3 linked regions of the Daphnia pulex genome follow. The protein of the gene in region 1 interacts with the protein of each later gene in a pairwise test. Links are inferred from orthologs where the notes say so. Each region holds a gene or a part of one and is shown on either strand. Other genes may lie near its edges.

Region 1 (6,362 bases):
ACAAGAGGAGAGATACAAGAGAACAAGACAATAGGGCCGGTAATGTGGAATCTTTTGAGCCGATCTCTTCTCGGCGCTGGGTGTTACTGTGGGCATCAACCTGCTATATAGCAGCAGACAAGTCCACACGGCTACACATATTATATAGCGTGTGTGTGGGGGTCTGAACGCGCGCGAGCCGCCCGCCCGCCCCGCTTCTTTCTCTTGTGTGCGGTTGTTTATACGCGCCGTGAAGGTGGGCCGCAGCGGCGCATCTCTATCTTATTGAACACACACGATAGAAAGAAAAAGAGACTCGTAGATATTTTTTTTATTCATTCGCCCAGCAGAGAAGAGAGAAAAAAAAGTGCTGCGTGAAAATAGAATCGCTTTTCTTTTTTCTTTTTTTTCTGCTGACGTAATGTTTATGTATGAACTTGCTGGTGTCTTGACAGTAGGGAAAAAAATGAATTTCCATTTTCTTCTTCTTGGATTTTTCCTTTTTTTCTTTAAAAAACCCGGGAGTCTCTAATGATCCGAGTCATGGCTGCATTCAAATGGCTCTCTGATTGTTGTGGGTGTGTTGCATATCTTTGGGTCGGTAGAGAACCACACACACACGCACACACACACACACATTGTTGTGTGTGTCAAATGTTGTTGGGTGTTTAGTTGAAACCGGCGGTTCAGTTTTCTTTTGCTGACAATTCGGGATCTTGGTCTGAACGCAGGGGAGTTGTGAGATATCAAAAAGCTGCCCGCGGTACAAACAAACCTTTTTGACACGCATTGGCAACAGCGTGCAAGCCAGAAGAAGAAGAAGAAGCCGGAGCTTATTATTATTATTATTATTATGGTCTTTTGGTGTCATCTTATCTTGGCCTTCTCTTTCTTTCTCTCTCTTTTATTTTTTGTTTTGTTTTTGGTTGAATGGAAAAGAACAACATTTTCTATCGTTTTAATCGGACACACATATTTACACATACGAGCAGCAGCAGCAGCGGCAGCAGCAGCCGGTGCCAACCAGCTCCGGCGCCATAGGAAACCGCGCCCGTTTGCTGTGTCTGTTTGCTGTCTGCGCGCATTAGAGACCGTTGTGTAGTGATTATTATATGCGAAATGCAATCGAGTCATTATTATTGCAGCAGCAGTGGCGACGGTTTCACTTAACAGACAGACCAGCCAACTCGGCGGTAATCAAATCCCGTCGTCGTCCTCTACTATAGTCGTCGTCGTCGTCGCTGCGTTCGGAATTCACGCCCCTCTCTCCTAATGTGCCAAGGTTTTTTTCTTCCCCGTATCGCTGCGCCAGTTGCTATCCTGATGACGTGATCCGCCATTTAGGAAAATAGCTGATGGCTCAACAGCAGCAGCAGCAGCAGCCCTCAAAGAGATGAGAGAAAGAAACAAGCTGCTGACACATCAAACAAGAACTCGATCGCCGCCTTACTCATCGCTGCTGCTGCTGCTGCAACCAAACAACTCGTCCCCGCCAGTCCCTCCGCCTCTTTGGCGTTTAAGGACAAACTGTCCCGCCGTTCATTTTCCCAAAAAATAAAAGGAAATGATTTTCTCCCCCAAAGATCTTCTAAAGTGAGAAAAGGGATTTTTCATTATCTTAAATGACATTAAGGCTGCCGTCATTCATTCGGATAAGGAGGCAACCAATGAGGGGAGGAGGCGTCCGTTTATATTTGTTTCTCCTCGGGAGAAAAGAAAAGAAGGAAACAAATGAGGATGCCCGACAAGAAAAAGGTGGAAGAATATCAGTCGAGGAATCGGGAGAATCAAGACGTCCTTAAGATAACCGGTCGACGAGTCGATGACTCTCGTCCCCAGCGCCGCCAAACACCCCAAAAAGGCTCTTCCATCAGGTCCGCGTCCGCGGGAGAAGGCCAGTCTCACCAAGCAACCAGAAAAGAAAAAAGGAATTTAACCAAAAAGACAATCAAGCCAAAAACTATGGTAAAATATAGAAACATCAAATAAATGTTAAAAGAAAAAAAAGGAAATTAAGTGTCGAGGAATTTTGTTTTGTTTTTTTAATTCGAGAAATGATGGTGAATGGAAAAGTGGCAACGCTGGGCGCCACTAACCATTTTCTGGTTTTTCGTGTATAATTCTTATTTTTTTTGTTGGTGTTATCGTCCAGCACGACTCTAGCTGCCGGGTGCTGCTGCCGCCGCCGCCGCTGCTGCTGTTGGACGCTATACGGGCAACCGTTTTCACGAAAGACACAACAACAAACCTTCCTCCCCAGTCGGGCCGAGTTGAAGGCAGTGGCGTGATTCTTTCTACGTTCGCTCTTGCGCGTTTTCCCATTCAGTTTTTCACCGTCGCCATTTCTCCCCGCCCAAAAAAGATCAGATTATTTTTGATTGTGCGCACAGTTTGTGTCGTTTTTTTTTCCCCATCTCGCGCAAGTTCCGCAGATCGTGTCGACCCCGAGACGCGACCGAGAACCCGACCTCAACTCGAGAAAGAAGAGACTCTCTCTCTCGTCGTTTTCTATTTTGTTTTTACTTCTTGTTTCCTTTTTTTTTCGATTTGACATCCGTCTCGACGATTTCTCGTGTCTCGTCTGTCGCCTCTCGTCTCTTTTTATTCGTGTTCTTTGCCCTTTTACGCCGATTCGTTTAATAGTAGCCAGAAAAATATATCAATTGCGTGTGTCGTATATTACAAAGTGTCGAGCCAATTCGTGTCCACCAGTGCCACAAGCCTCTCCCGACGATCGACCGAGATTCGATCGGGCGTCAAAAGACTTTTCTTCTTTTCCTTTTTTAATTATTTCACATATTACACATTCGAGCTCCCGTGAAACAAAAGTGTCTACCTTATCGCATTACCGCCGGCAATGGGAGCCACAACGTGACGTAATCTAATCGCTCCGTAGCCTAGATTTCAGCTCATTAGACACGGCAGCAGCGCAGAATCTGATTGGATTCATTCAATCTTTTTTTAATATTTTTCCATTTTTAATCGAGTCGTGATTCTCCTCCCGGCTTGAATAGTTGGCGCTAAAGTGCCGGGCCCAGCCATCGAGTGTTTAGTGAACTTGAGCCAACGGTACGACATTATCGTATAGTTTAAAAAAGACGTGTGTAGTATACGGTGGATTACAACAGTCTGAAGAGATACCATCAACGGCATTCTGGGCGGTAAGTTGATCCGTCAACAACGAAGGATAATTTCTTTTACTGTAAGGTTGTGTGTGTGTGCCTGCCAACAACACCTGTAGACGTAATCTGCCGGGCAAATTGATTAGACACAGCGACACTTAATATATCGGCTTTAGTCCATTCAATTGATGGTAAATAACTTCAAGAAAAAAGAAAAATTGAATAGGCGTCGGATATATAGTTGTCTCATCATTTATCCTTACAGCAGTTCCATTTTCTCTCTATTTCGACCTGTCCACGCTCGCACAGTCAATTATCTAATGGGTCTTTTTTTTCTTCACCTGTTGGAAGACGCACCTGTAAAAAAAAACGACCGCTGTCGTTCTAATACACTTTCGTTTTGTACTGCTACATATTATATAGTTTTTTTGGGGGGGGGACTGTGCGGTCGTAACGCTGACCACACGCTCGGTATAAGTCCCGTCACACCTCCACAAGAAAAAAAGAATAAATTCCCAAAAAAACCACGAAGAAACAAAATGCTTCCAACTAAGTGACAAAAGGCCACACCGCAGTAGTTTCCGGCTTGCGGTGATGACACAATCGCTTTCCACACTCGGTAGTTTTGTTCCGATTGCTGGTCAACAGCGCTGGCCGTGTTCCGGCATTCACGTTATAGGGGACTTCCCTCCTTCCTAATTGCTAAGAACCACCTCAAAATTGTTTGTCTTTTAAATATCCATGGCCTATTTATTTTTTTAAATTAACTTGTATACAAATTCAAAAGAGAATGTAATACTCTTTATTATTCATCGAGACCCACAAGCGGTAAAATAATGTCGGATACACTCCCCAGCACTTGATTTTAATAGTCGAGAAATAAAAACTAGGAAGACGTAGTAAGTTGGTCAATTGTTTCTTTTTTATACTTTAGGAAAAGTGTCCTGCACCTTTCAATGTCTCGTATAGATTCCCAGACGAAACCGCAATTTTCTTATAGCAGTGACGAAAGCTTTCCGTTGTTGTACATTCGGTATACTCTCCTTTTGGGTTGTTTCTTCTTCCGTTTTTACGACCGGAGGAAAAACTGGCTGCTGCCGCCGCAGTAGCCAACGTCGCACCTACTCTACATCTACTTAGATATGCGCACAATCTTTATATAAAATTCCTCGACCAATTTACGACACTCTATATAGTATAGTACGGGGGCCACTTCATTTTTTCGCTTCCATCCACTTTCTTCTTAATGCTTTTCGGATTAATTCCGATTCCGGAACAAAAAGACATTTGAAGAAGATAAAATGAAATCCAAATGGATTTTTTTGGTGAGAGTGTGTATAAGTGACACGATGTGCTCCGCCCTTATTTTTTACCTTTTATCTTCTTCTTCTTTAATTCTCCTGACCCGCCAGAGGAGAGATCAATCGGCCGTTTTTGTATACCTCTGCTAAGGGGGTGGAAGGGGGGGAGTTCATTTATCAAAAAGTGGGAGACTTCCCTTTCCGTTGACTTGACCCCATGCGGAATTCCCTCCATCCGCCAAATACACACAGCGGATTAAAAGTTTAAAAAAAGGAAAAAAAGGGTTTTTTTTTTTGGTTTTCTGAGGGTAAAAATGCAAAGTAGTGGACGACACTCAAAAGTACTTATAATAATAATACACGGGCGGTATAGGCCAGCGGGTAAATGTGTACTTTTAACCCAATTTTATTTTACTTTGACTATACTTTAGTGTTGACCGAAGTGAAATAAATAAACTTAAGTATTTTAATGTAGTTGGTGTTACGCGTAAATTTCATTGAAATCGGCTACTTATTTAATAAATTTGAAAAGAACACACCGAATTTCACATTCGTCGTCTGTGATTGGCAGTTGCCACTTCCCATCCCACTCCATTGTTTTTCACCCACCCACGTTGTCAAAGATCACTTAATGACTTTAATTAATTAAAGTATTTTATAATTGACTCGCAATCTTGAAATTATAGCCATTAAATTAAAAACATTTTATTAAAAAAAATATTTGTACACACGTATTCAATTATTCATCTTCGAGAAAAATTAAATTTAGCAATTTAGAAATTGCAACACAGCTCAGATTCGGGAATCTCTTTGTCAGTTATTCTTCAATGGAGTCATGGAGCAGGTTGTACATTTTCGCGGTTTTTTATTCAGGTGTTATGGACCATATTGGAAATTTTTAACCAAATGAGTAAGTTCTTTATTTAGGATCTATTGTAGTTCATAGATAATAAGTGTTTAAGCATTATTTTGTCCACTTTTGGTTAAGCAAACGTTCACTTCATTTGACATTTTGAACCAACAAGAATGGTGTAAGAATAAGTAAGAATAAAGTGAAGTAGAGTCAAAGTGAAAGTTGAAATTGAATTGGTATAGAGGGGTAGTTAATGTACAAGTGGCCAGTGAATTAAATTCCAATTCGTCGAGTCCAAGACTCGAGTGAGCGAGAAAATTGAAGCCCGGCTTCTTGTCAGGTCAAAGATCAGCCCAGCAGGAGGGTTTTTCATTTTTTGGGGAAACACATATGCTGTTGACTTGGGAGGGACACAGCAGACGGACGATATATATTTAGTGTTTATTCCTTCTTCTTCCGGCATAAGTATGGGCTTTAGAAAATAGCATCAGGACTGCAGATTTCCGTTTTGCTCGACACATTTCGCTTCGCTGATTTCAAATGAAAAATTCAAAGTGAAGGACTTTTGACGGTTCTCCAAATCTCTTCATCACATCCGGCCACACACACTTAAAAATGTTAAATAGTAAAATGTCTAAAAACAAAAAAAATCACACTTTGAAAATGTGTCCGGTATTATTTGTGGCGACCATATAAAATGTCCACCACCCATCAAAAAGAAAAAAAGGTGAAAAATGTTTTTTAAAAAATAAAAAAAAAAGCGTTGCGAGTCTATTAAGAAAAAGAACCGTGAAGGCACTTAATGCCTTCATGATAAGATCAACATTTTAGAAGGAGCTCAGCTTATCGACACTTTACACATTTTCATTTCTTTTTGGAAAAGGTTAGCAGCAGCTCTCTGAGCCGGGCAAATCTCTCCACTGGCAACTTCAATAAGTCATAAGATTCCAGAGGTTATTTCAAATACATCTTTCGATGCAATTGGTTGTATTATGTTACGGCTGCGTAAAATGGCGCGCGATTCGCTGTGGTAGTTCGTACGTTCCACTTTCGTGAAAAATGGTTGAACATCACGTCTCGACCGCTCATTCTTTCTTTCTTTTTTTA
Region 2 (6,502 bases), on another chromosome or scaffold:
ACGCAAGATGTGTAATTAGTAGAACAATTACTTTATCATTTGACTCCATATCTTTTTTCCGCTTGCTTCCTACATCGCCGATGGAACTTGTGTGGCTCTTTTCGGTTTCGCTTTGATTTTTCGATTTGTCAAGGGCTATTTCCCTTTTTTCCAGTATACTCTGCTTCTCTTCTAGTTCTTCGGAGCGCCACGTTATGGCTGTACGCAGTTCGACCAAACGTTCCTCCTCTGCTACCAGCCAGCGCCACTTGTGCTCCAATTCAGATTCACCAGGTGTGCCGTCTGCGAGTCCAAACAAAAGAAAATTGCCGTGTTATTATATAATATGGGCGAATATTAGATTATTATTATTTTTTTAAATCTACCTTTATCACTGCAAAGTTCAAGGAAACGCATTTCGGAACTAACTCGTTGTTCCTGTAGCTGACGTTCAAGTTCAACTATACGCACATGATCCTTTTCTATTTCTTGTTTCAACTCTTTTTTCTTCTCGTTCTCTTGACGAAGCTGCTCCTTTAGAACCGATTGCTGGTCCTTCATAATGGACAGACTTCGCTCCAGTTCGCCAACTCTAAAATGGGAATAAATAAAGTACCATTAGTTGAGTCAAACGATCCATAGAATTTCACAAATGTAAAATGCAATTACTTCCGAGGAGCCCGCGCAGTTAGATCTAGCAACTCTGCCATGTTTTTTAAACAGTGTTCAAAGCGTATAATCTCAGCCCGCTGTTGGCCGATTGTTCGTTCACCGTCAGTGACGTTGTCGCTTTCTTGTTCGATGGGACTGCTGCATTCATCACTGTTGTCTTCTGACTGTTTCCTATGGCGGGGTGGAATATTTAGATCGGATTGATGAGGGACCCTATCCTGCTTAAGCGATTTCTGAATTTTCTCCTGGTGAGTTTTTGTCTGTTCGTTTTCTTTGCTGTCACGAGTAAAATCCACATATTCCTCCTTTAAAAAGAAAATAATAATAAAGATAGTTAAAAATTACTGGGGAGATCAACGTCAGATCGGCAAGCTAACCTTCAAAGAAACTGTCCGTTTGAGCTCCTCAAGGGTTTGGTGAGCTTTTTTAAGTTGTTTGTTCGTTTTCCATGTAAGGAGTTGTCGTTTTTCTGAAATCTCAGCAGAATGTCGCATTTCTCGACATGCATCGTCTTCCGCATCGCCTCCGACTTTCAGGCTCCCTTCAACTGCCAAGAAGCAACAAAGATGTTTAGTGTTTAAAAAAATATAAGATATCATCGACTATAGGTTGAAAATTCAAAACTGATTCAACTACTTAGTACTTACTTGGATGATTAGATGATGATTCATTATTTACAGATTCTGGAGTTGATAAACGAGTTTCACCTATTAGAGGCTGTTGGTCTACTGCATTTGAAAGACCGAATATACTAACTCTTCGACCAGTTCTTAGAGGTTTCGGACTGGTATTCCCACTTTTATAATTGCTAGTTGATTGTTCGCGGTCAAATTCAGCGTGTTGAGATAAATCAATAGGATTTGATGCACCCCATTCTAAAGACGTTGCGTTATCATACATTGACTCGATGCTTGAGATTAAACGGTCAGTTGTTTCTCTAAATTGCTGCCTTAATATATCCAGTTGCTCCGTAAAGTGAGACCCCTAATATGAAAGAAATTATACGATATTTTCATTTTACGTTTTTTTATGTTAAACAGAATGCTGCATTATTCCCGTTCTTACATCAGATGACGAGTCTATGGACGACCGATCATGCCTGTTACTCAGTTCAGAAGAAAGTTCACGGGTTGGAGTGGGCTCGGATACCTCTTCTACAAATTAATATAATAGTTAAAACGACTATCACACGCACACACTAAAGATTTAGTTACCAATGACATGGAGTGTTTTAGATTCACCACTGGTGTGAAATATGCTTGTTGTGATAGGCAAGTCTGTCAGGTGACTGCCATCGGTATCACTCTGAATTCTGTTTCGCGGTTTGATGGTTAACAAATCGGGATCAATACAGTTTGCGTATTCCTCTTTCAAACAAAGCCAAGATTCTATTTTGTTTTTGGTGTCATTTCCAAGCAACCCAGATGCAGCCAACTCATTTAAAAGTGTTTCGGCGTTGGTCACCAGTAATTGCCACTGACTTGCTGCGAATCGTAATCTATGGGAAAGAGAAATGCAATTGCTGAATGAAAGCTTCAATTTATAAATTTAAAAGTCTGACCTAAAAACTTCATCTCCGTCTGTTTGTTCAGGATCATGATATACAGATCGATTTTCTTCATTGTCCCTCATAGGATTAGCTTGACAAGTAAATGGAGTTTCATTCATTTGAAATTGCGGAATGTTAGGCGGTGACACAAGTTCCGTCACACCAGCCAAATTAAAAGGGCGAGCGTTTATGCCCATTGCCATCAAAGGAATATTAGCTATCGGTGTAAGGCGGACATTCGCTACTGGGCGATTACAAATGTTTGCTGCCCTTGATGCGAACTTCAACGTATTCGTCGTCTCTTCCAAATCAGAAGCCGAAGGAGAAAGGCACACAATCATCAAGGTGAAGGCATTACCACCCAGTGAATCCTACATGAATAAATTTAAATGCACAGTTAGATCGTAACCAAAAGAGAGAGTGAAAAAGAAATGTTTTTGACAAAATAAACACACTTTCAGAATGTAGGTTAATTTCGAATCCCAATAAGGCACGTGGCTAGCTTTTCTTCTAGGATCACCCAATGCAGCCGTGACATTACTTAACGCAAGAAGGCCAGAATTAATGGAAAATGGTTCCTGAAATCCTGTTAGTTGTGTATCGTCGTTTCCATGATTACTGGTAACACCGAGGCCAAGTCTTTCCGATCCAGCCAAGTCGACAAAATGGAGTTTAGAACACACTTCATACAAACATCCATCTGAAAGAAAATATGTCAAGTTTCATTGAGAAAATTATCAACAAAAGAATAAAGAAAAGTAGTCAACCTTGTGTCCATGCCTGTTGCATATAGAGTGTGAAAATTCCATGGGATCTACTTGAGAGTTGATTTAACATGGGCCCAGTATGTCTTAAAGCCAGACCAGTTTCAAGACAGCTAAATACATCATCAATGGTATGACATTCCATTTGTGTTGCTCCAGTGATGATGATTTCTCCCTAAATTCAATATGTAATAATTATAGCATTGCTATTATCAGCAATTTCACATTTAAATTTTTTTTTTTTTTAAATAATACATTTTGATCTTCTTGTACAGTAATTTCACCATGAAAGGGTTCCATACTCAGAAGATCATGAATTTCTTCATCATAGATTTCTAAATAGCTTGCTTGGATAGAGATCTGTCTTCCGGGGTATTCCTAATTAAAAAAAATTCCCAAAATATCAAACAAAAACCAATTTAGTTATTTAATCTTCACATATTTATTACTTCAAACTGTTTACTTTAGCTTTGTAAAACAAGTTACGAACAGTCCGTGGAACCATACCAAAATCAGATTCATTCATGGTGTAGAGCAATCCAGGTCCAAATATTGTAAATGTTTTCCCAGATCCAGTTTGTCCATACGCTATTACAGTTATGTTGAAACCTGACATACCAATACCATATAAGATGACGTTAAAAGTATAAGAAGTTGCATAACAGTTCTTTTCTTAAATTATTTAACAGACCATCAAAACAAGCATTGACAATTGGCTCGACATATCCTTTGAATATTGCCTGTTGAGGACAATCAAATGGGAGAACATTGCCCAAATGAAATAACCGATTGTTTCCCAGCACAATTGTTCCATGGGATGGATCAATTTGAAAATATGGTGTTGGTAAAACATGATCAGTTGTTTGTAGTGAACGAATCTAGTTAAATTTCAAAAATTGTGAACAATGGGTTGAAATACAATTACTTAATGAAAAAAAAAATGGTTAAAGTTCTTGTTTACCCGGGTTACGAGTTGAACTCGGGCTTGTAAATCCCTGTCTTGACTAGCGCTGAAAAGCATCACGACATTGATAATACAGTTAAGAATAGTTCTTGTTGGATAAATTAACCAATTAACAATTCGGATCGCACAACTGACAGTAGGAAAAGATGATCACACAACACCTGACGTAATTGTATATTATTATTTTCAAGGAAACAGAAACAACAACACCTTTTCCCTTTTACTTTAAATGTCAAAAAAAGAAGGGTGTCCGTAAAGTGCAGGGTGCAGGTGCAGGTTGGACGGTGGGTAAAAAGCGGAACCCGGAGTGCAGGGGCCCTGCACTTTCCCCAACCGAGCGGCTCCCTTGGTAAAATACAGGTTTAGAATTCTACACTAAAATGCAGGTTAGGAAAAGTGCAATGTGCAGTGAAATTTTATGTTTGACTGCCTTCAGTCAGTTATTATCCATTTGCGTGTACTTTTTATTTATTGTCTACACTCTGTTGCGCGCTGAATTATGAGGGCCCAAAACCGCCACTTTTTCAATATAAATTTTTTTTCAAAATATCAATACATAAAACAGAAAAGAATATAAAAATAAAAAAATTCAATATAAAAACTGGTAAAAAGTATTACATAAAAACCAAAAAGAGTAATATAAAAAACAAAAAGTTAATATAAAAACCAAAAAAGTCAATATAAAACCCAAAAAAAGTTCAATACAAAACTCCAAAAAAGTTCAATATAAAAATGGCAGCCACCTAGTGGTCAAAATAATAACTTCATGCCACATCTAAACCTCCACTCAACCAACCTAACCTGCACTTTCTGTGAGCAGCATTTGGGCCTGCATTTTACCCACCTACCTGCACGCCGCACCCTGCACTCCGGGTTCCGCACTTTACCCACCGTCTAACCTGCACCTGCACCCTGCACTTTACCAACACCTCAAAAAGAAAGCGCAGCGGCTAGATTTCCAAGTTTACCATTTTTTAATGGCAACTGCTACTTAGCTTTGCACCTTACACATATTTTAAAATACTCGACTCCGTCATGTTGTTCGTCGTCCAGGACAGCCTTTACCTCCCACTCCTCGTCATCCATTCACTGCATTAATCTAAAAAAAAATGGAATTATTAGGAAATTAAAATTGCGAAAAAAATTAATCACGATTACCTTTGCTTTTCAGCTTCAAGAAACTGTTTAAGTTTTTGAATGTCATCATTCTTTTAGCGGAACTGCTTACTCATTTTTCTCGATTGTTCGAAAAAAGCATTGTACATGTTGACCTAAAAAAATTTAATATTAGAAATAATGACATTACACAGTAAAAAACAATAAAAAAATACCAATTTGGCCATGCCATTCTCCAATTGTTGACTGGTGACGACGTCTTCTTCTTCAATTTCAGCTACTTCCCCTACGCCATCGTCCACATCTTCAACATCCATACAAGAAACTTCTTCCTCTGCTTCCTTGAAATTTCCAACAGGCAAAGTTTCTAGTGCAGATACAGGTACAAGTACAGGAGGTTCAAAAGTAGTTCTTTCATATGGAATATAAACAGGATCACCTATTCCGTAGTGAAAAATTTGAGGATATGTACATTCCTAAATTGTTAACAATAAGAAACGTTGTTCAAGTAAAAAATAATAAAATGAAAGAAAACATAAGAGATATACCTTGTGCATTTATCGAAGCCACATTCGCTTTTGAATACCAGTTTCGTTGAACACTTCATACAAATTCTATCTATTAGACTGACGTATAGACGAAACACTGAAGTCCAAGTCCAGTACATATTCATTGTCTTCAGACAAATCATCAGCTCGTAGACAATGATAATTTGCGACCATAAATTTGTGTAAAGCATCACAACCCTCCAAGGTTAATAAAAAAACGTTTTATCATAAAATACTGATCACTTAGGTCTTGACGTTGATCAAGATTAAAATTCGATAAAGATTAAAATTTCCCCAAGATGTTGGTTTAGTTCCACAAAACGCTCTTCTTGTTGACAAAATTTGTTCTTGACCTTGGTAGTGCTCTCCACAAATTTCTCGTAATTCGAAACCTATAAAAACACAACATTGAATATAATAACCCAAAAACAAAAAAAAAATAACTTACCCATAAATTACTTACAAGATTAACGTAGCCATCCTCTATATTTCGGTAGTGTTTTTCTATTTGGTCTTCTTTCGCATTCTCCGTCGGACACCTTTGCCAAATACACCTCCCCATCTTGAACTTCGCTGCTCTTGATGAAGCAATTGATTGAAACGTAAATTAATAAGGTAAATTAGATACAATAAGGTTCATTATTGCATGTAAACATAAAAAAGATCTATCGCAAAGATCCCTAACACCAACTTCGCAATCAAATTCGTTGACTGCCTCTTCATGGCAAACAATGGCCGCATCTGCAACCGCAACACCGGCAACAAGAGCAACAACTTCAGAAACAACATCCGTATTGAATGGAATCTGTTCCGCCGGCAACTCAATTTCTTGTCCGCAACGAATTATTTCAGGAAAAACATTATCCTACATTATTGACCCCCCCCCATATTTAACAGAAATGTACATTAA
Region 3 (6,514 bases), on another chromosome or scaffold:
TTTTAACAACTTTGGGCTACGAAACCAAGAGTTGTCAAATCCAGTTGTGAATTCTGGGTGATATTTTGAAGTTAGAGACCTTCACAGTGGAACTAGAATGCTAACAACAAAGTTACGGTGTTAGAATAAGAGCCATCACAACAGACAAGTGTTATTAAACAATACCATAGTTTTATATTTCAGCACAAGTGTCGGTAAGCGAGTGCATACAGTGGCAGCCAAAGCAAACAGTTAATACAGGCTCAGAGTAACATTTTCACTTTTCATCTGCTCACCTCCGACTTACACACGGGGCTAACTAGCCACAACACAAAACTTTCGATAATATGAAACGTTAACTAATCTTCATGGATTTGGTGACAAGACCTTTTCGTCATTTTCTCATTTAAAAGAGATTAATTGAAAAACGTTTTGTATCATCATATTCTCACGTGAATGTGTGGGAGGAGTCTTGACTAAGACAGACAGCCGCTCCTTCTATCTGCCACATTCCTTCCCCTCCCTCCATGGAACATCGCCATTTGGTAACTCTGCTGGCTGTCAAACTTGGCTATTTCAGATTTTAGAAAAAGTTTGGGAAATATAGTCAATAAAACCAATTAGTTTTAGTTTTGAAAACATTTATGAAAACTGTATCGTTGATATATTGTTGCCATAAGAACGTGTAAGAGAAAGAAACCAAAATGCAAATTATTAATGGAATTGACATTTTTACAACTTGTCAAAAAAGTACAGGGGATCGTCTGAACTCTGAAGGATCTTATTTGAAAAAGTTGTGTGTGTTGTGTTTATATTTTTTTGTCAGGTTGTGACAACAAGACAAATACATGACTGATATAATGATTTTGCAAAACTGGAGAGCTTCTTCGGCCGCCGCCATTTCTTTCTTCGATCATGACGTCATTTGGTAAGAGCCATCTGAAAGGTTGCTGAACCCGGCTTCTAGAAGGGAAATTATTTGCTTCAACAATTTATTTTTTGGCTTTTCGAACTTGACGATTAAAGATCTAGAAATGATGCCAGTCAATAAAAAAAAAAAAGTGGTTCAATTCAACTTTTACAAAATTTCAAAATACATCGCGTCAATCTTGCATTATCGCTTTGATTACCGGTTAGACGAAAGTAACTTGACAAGAATTGAATAATAGTCCCGAAGAATGAGCAAGATTTTTTTTTCTGTACCAGTAGTCGAATATTTGACATTCGACATTGAAGATGTTATTCCAAATGTTCTGTTACGTTGCATTGTAAGTTACAACCCTCACGAGGAATCCAAGGCTGTATGAAAATATGCTGGTTGTAAATTTTCCGAATGTATTACCTTTTCAAAGTTGTTCTTTCCAACATTTTATTATTAAGTAGGTTGTTTTACAATTCGCTTGTTGTAGTCATAAGTTCTGGTTTAAACCGCTTATTGCGTACATAAATCAACCCCGATTGAGGTAAAATGTCATTTATTACTTCCACGTCAGGACAGATTTGATTGGATACCACTTTCCGCTGGATCAATCTACTTTAACGAAAGGTCAACAAACTTTTCTTGTTTGCAAAATAGTAATTAAAAAATAAAATAAAAAACGATTGATTTGATAATAATTCATACTGGTGCGGTTCATGTGTGCATTTTTATATTTTACAGATTAGCTGGATTTCTGCTTCTTTAATTAAGCGGATATTTATGATTCATTTGTGGACGCTATTCTGTGTCAATTCTGTGTGCAATGTTCTGTGCTTTCGCACTTGAATTTATTTCTGCCCATTAAAGACGTTTGCTTCAAATCTGTTATAATTTATTTTTCATCGAATATCTTAATCAAGATTTTAGTAAAAATCTTGAAATTTACAAAATCTACAAATAAGTAAAATCTGTCACATCTATTTTTTAACCAGTAATAAAATTTTACAGGCAAACGACGAAGCTACTTTTATTGAAGCCATATCATTTTTATTCCAAAGATTTCACCAAACATATAGTTCCCCATTCTAATTATTTTTTAGCTGTTTGTTGCGAGCAAATGACGAAGATCGAAGAGTAACTGAACAACTTTTCGCGCCAGAGAAAGTTCCATCGAAAATGTGCGCTCAACAACAATGAAATCAAGGAAGAACCTGACAACGTCGTATTCGCTTCTCACGAATTATAATGAGCTTGAGTAAAATTTTTTGACACTTCATGTAATTTTTGTGTTTGTTTCAAGAATGCAAAATATTTGAAAATAATGATTAAAAATTAGGAAATCAAATGAAATGATAAGAATTATTGAGAATTGCATCGCAAAAATCTCTATCGCGTCTATTTAGATGGAAAAATTGTCTAAAACTTACGACTTTGGCCACCAGAGTTGGACCCTTAGATCCAAGCTAAGAAATCAACAGCAGCCATTTTGTTCGAGTCCCTGAAGAAGAATGTAGAAAATCTAGTGGCAGGAGAAGAAAAAGTAAATCGTGAACGGAAAATTTTCGTCATCGTTCACCTCGTGATGCTAGGTAGTGCCGCTGATTGTTAACGGATTGTTATATTGTCGAAAAAAAAGTTTACATAAAAATTGAAAATTTGGCGGCGACCCCTACTGTGGAGATCCTCGGACGACTACAGTGGGACGGGGTTGTTCTTTTTTTTTTTGAAGTGAAAGCCGTTGCCGTGAAGGAAGGCTTGAATTCTGCACGGTCGACGGAAGAAGCTAAAGTTCCTCTCTGGAAGGCTCCGTTTTACCGCCCTCAAAGTGATTCACCAACATTTATTAATACAGTGGCCGGCGCGTTGGACGCTTTAATTGATTGAAGAAAGGAAAATTTCGGAAGAAAGCATCTTACCTGTCTTGTCTTTCTCCCATCCATACATCCTCAATGGCTGTGGAGAAGAGTGCTCTATGACCTCTCTTTACTTGTCCAAGTGTCATGTGCTGCTGGTGGGGAAGATTGTGCGATGAGTCTTTTTTAGCAGAAGAGGTGCTTGGTTTAACCTAAAGAAAGTCATGGCTGAACACCTTATTGAAGGGCCGCCTAACAAGCGGCCCAAACTGAATGATGCTATTGGCAACTGCTCTACTGATTCATCAGGTATAACACCATTTTGTTTTTAAAATGCATAAATACAGCTTTATTCTTAGAGTTTGACAATCGACTTGGTCCATTGTTGTCAAGCTGTCACATGTTTGACAGTTGGGTCAACTTTTACCGTTTTACTTGCATCCTCTGATTCTAACCATCTTTATTCCTTTATAGATATGATTGGGAATCCACTATTTGATCTTGAAAGCAATCTGCCTGATGAGCTTTTCAACACATCAGGAGGGGGCTGGAGTAATGCTACTGCTAATGTGAGCCAGCCGACTGCCCAGCCACAGCAGCAGCAACAGCAGCCTCCACAACAACAACAGTGTGTTCAGAGGCCCCAGTCTATGGGCCCTAACAATCCTGGAATGGGAATGTCGATGGGCTTAGGACCTGGTTCTCAGCAGCAACAAAATGGATCAATGGATGCTCAACATCATCACCAGCTTCCTCATATGGGAATGCAAAACAAAGCTTCGCTGAACAATATGAGTGGTGGTGCGATAAGTGGCAGTGCAATTGGGCAAAACAACATGAACATGGCTAATAGTAGTTTAAATAAAGGCCCTCTGAATAGTAAGTTGAACTCACCGCCTGGCAGTGCCCCAATGCCCATGATGAATTCTATGGGAAATGGCCCACAAATGATGCAGTCGTTGCAGCAGCAACAACAGCAGCAGCAACAATCAATGAATAACATGTTGAATCCAACTGGAATGGGTGGTGTGAACGTGTCGATGAAGACACCCGGGTCCATGATGAATGCCGGCCAAATGAGCCAGGGTTTACACAACGGCCCACAATCCATGATGGGCAGTGCTAGGCCTGTTGGAGGCCTTCCTAACAATATGATGCCGCAACAGCAACAACAACAACAAACGCCATTAAGAGGGCAGCTTATACAAGGGATGAATCCTCAAGGACCTCGCTTGCAGGTAAGAAATTCTGCTCTGTCTTGTTCTTACTTTTGTAGCTAAACCAACTCGATTAAAACAGGGACCGGGAATTGGTGGAATGGGAGGCATGGGCCCAAATGCCGGGCCCGGCTCGAATGTGATGACCAATTCCAATCAATATGGCTTTGCTAATTCGAACATGCCAAATGCTATGATGGCAGCCCAACAGCAAAGACCTATCGGTACAGCTAATGGTGGTATTCCTCCAATGCAAAATGCCATGCAGCAGCAGCAACAACAACAGCAGCAGCAACAACAACAACCGAGGTTTAATAGCGAGCAAAATATGAATCCCAACATGTCAGCACGACCAGTTATGATGCCTGGTGGAGCAGCGGCGATGGTTTCAGCGCCGATGGTATCATCAGCGTCATCCACTGTCACTCAGACTCCTATGGTTTCTGCCCAACAACAGCATCCTCAACAACAACAGCAGCAGCAATACACACCAGTGGCCGCTAATGCTCCTCAAGTGGCAGCGCCAAGCCCAGCTGTTACTCCTGTCGTGCCAGTCGCCGCAGGATCGGCCGGTGGTGCAGGAGCAGCTAATGCGGCAGCAACTGCCGATCCCGAGAAAAGGAAACTGATCCAGCAGCAACTTGTACTCCTTCTTCACGCTCACAAGTGCCAGCGAAGAGAGAACCAGGCCAACGGAGAGGTGCGTTGAATAGACGACGAAAATTTTTAAATAATGTGTCCTTATGGTTTTGGTTCATCTTTTGATACCACAGTGCACCCTTCCACACTGCCGGACAATGAAAAATGTTTTGAACCACATGACGACATGCCAGGCGGGAAAATCATGCCAAGTACCTCACTGCTCCTCTTCGCGGCAGATAATTTCTCATTGGAAAAACTGTAATCGTTCCGACTGCCCCGTCTGCCTGCCTCTCAAACAGGCAGATCGGAATAAAGGTACCACAATTTTTTTGCTCATTTTTCGTGGAGAAATTTATTCAAATATTTTTCTTCGTTCTGTTAGCTCCTCATAATGCTTCTCAACCGAGTCCTGCCGGTTTCGATGTCGGTCTTGGTTCCAACTCGATTGGCGCATCGTCTGCGGCACCCGGTCAAGGTATCCTACCAACATTGAATCAAGGCGGTGCTGTCGGAGGAGTTCAGGCTCCTCCTAACGCTGTAGGTGGGATGCCGAGGCCTTTACTACCACCCCAACAACAGCAGCAAAATTCAATGGTTCCAATGAACAATGCCCAGTTAGCAGGAAATAACCCTCCGTCAGCCGTCGCCGCAGCTGGGCAACCTGTTCCTCCTGGTGCCATGAATCGTGGCCCTCCTCATAACGCGGCGCTGCAATCTCAGCAGCAAACCGCTGGTTCCACCACGGCAAGGAATATTAGGGGTTCCATCTCAGACAACGCATCCAACATTGAGCACATTGTATGATTTCAAACAATGCATTTTACATAGCAGAATATTTTTTCATTCACTCCCTTTCTTTATTCGATTTAGATGAGCCCGGTAAATTCAACAACTCCCTTGCCTGGTGGACTGCAGCCAAGTCAGGTCACAGCCGATCCTGTTCAAGGGTCTAAAGAGTGGCATCAGTCGGTGTCACCCGATCTGCGTAATCACTTGGTTCAGAAACTCGTTCTGGCCATCTTTCCAACTCCCGATCCACAGGCAATGTTGGATAAACGGATGCACAACTTGGTGGCCTATGCTCGGAAAGTCGAAAGTGACATGTACAAGATGGCTGATTCCCGCTCCGAGTATTATCACCTTTTGGCTGAGAAGATTTACAAGATTCAAAAGGAGCTGGACGAGAAGCGTCAAAAGCGCAAGGAGCAACAACAAGCTCAGCAAACGCCTACTTCTACGCCGACGACGCCGCTGCAACAGCAGCCTCCTTCCGCGCTCTCCCATCTTCAATCTGGCCAACAAGTACCTCCGCAACAGCAGCAACAACAACAGCAACAACAACAACCTGTACCACCAAGCAATAACGCAGGTTTGAGGCCTAATATGCCAGGGATTGGGGAATCTGGGCAGGGGGCACGAGGAATCGCACCTACGAGCGGAATGATGATGCGCAACCCAACTCCCATACCACCCAGTCCAGTGGGAATGAGTCAAGTGCCCAATCAACTCGCTCAGCAGCAACAGCAGCAACAGAGAATGTCTATGCAGCAAATAAGACCGGATCATGGTAACATTGGGCCACCCAATCAAACTGTTCCTCTTCCTGGATTGTCGCCTTACGGTAGTATGGGCACTCCTATGAGCGCTAGTTCGCCCTTTCCCAGTGCCAATATGAACCAAAACGCGTCTCAGCAACAACAGATGCGTAACCGAATGCCTGCTCCTCCATACTCAGTGTCTCAACAGCAGCAGCAGCAGCCACAGCAGCGACAACAACCTAATCATCCAATGATGATGCAACAGCAGCAGCAGCAGCAGCAACAACAACAACAACAGCAGCAGCAGCAGCAACAGCATCAGCAACAACAGCAATCAGTCCAGTCTTCCGACCAACAGCAGCATAT

What was found. The genes of interacting proteins can lie anywhere in the genome.
Region 2: the proteins of zinc finger protein GLI2-like (region 1) and kinesin-like protein KIF7 interact in binary tests that used the Drosophila melanogaster proteins (3 or more experiments, as listed by UniProt). The link is inferred for Daphnia pulex from reciprocal best matches to the Drosophila melanogaster genes ci and cos.
Region 3: the proteins of zinc finger protein GLI2-like (region 1) and CREB-binding protein-like interact in a two-hybrid assay, tested with the Drosophila melanogaster proteins (3 studies listed by BioGRID). The link is inferred for Daphnia pulex from reciprocal best matches to the Drosophila melanogaster genes ci and nej.

Annotation. Positions count from the first base shown.
Region 1 is NC_060017.1:6,837,418-6,843,779, forward strand, and holds the start of zinc finger protein GLI2-like, read left to right. Parts: upstream 1-2,133; 5' UTR 2,134-3,140; intron 3,141-5,217; exon of another isoform or gene 5,218-5,312; intron 5,313-6,362. UniProt on the Drosophila melanogaster protein: Has a dual function as a transcriptional activator and a repressor of the hedgehog (Hh) pathway. The full-length ci form (ciFL), acts as an activator (ciA) while ciR, its C-terminally truncated form, acts as a repressor. Involved in segment polarity.
Region 2 is NC_060028.1:3,196,314-3,202,815, reverse strand, and holds the start of kinesin-like protein KIF7, read right to left. Parts: upstream 4,190-6,502; 5' UTR 3,986-4,189; coding exon 3,926-3,985; intron 3,843-3,925; coding exon 3,656-3,842; intron 3,574-3,655; coding exon 3,428-3,573; intron 3,343-3,427; coding exon 3,220-3,342; intron 3,140-3,219; coding exon 2,968-3,139; intron 2,901-2,967; coding exon 2,656-2,900; intron 2,572-2,655; coding exon 2,213-2,571; intron 2,150-2,212; coding exon 1,866-2,149; intron 1,806-1,865; coding exon 1,717-1,805; intron 1,636-1,716; coding exon 1,299-1,635; intron 1,199-1,298; coding exon 1,029-1,198; intron 957-1,028; coding exon 649-956; intron 572-648; coding exon 366-571; intron 283-365; coding exon 32-282; intron 1-31. UniProt on the Drosophila melanogaster protein: Regulates cubitus interruptus (ci) processing by recruiting multiple kinases to promote its efficient phosphorylation.
Region 3 is NC_060022.1:5,073,172-5,079,685, reverse strand, and holds the start of CREB-binding protein-like, read left to right. Parts: upstream 1-2,325; 5' UTR 2,326-2,975; coding exon 2,976-3,060; intron 3,061-3,225; coding exon 3,226-3,989; intron 3,990-4,050; coding exon 4,051-4,668; intron 4,669-4,741; coding exon 4,742-4,925; intron 4,926-4,992; coding exon 4,993-5,408; intron 5,409-5,480; coding exon 5,481-6,514.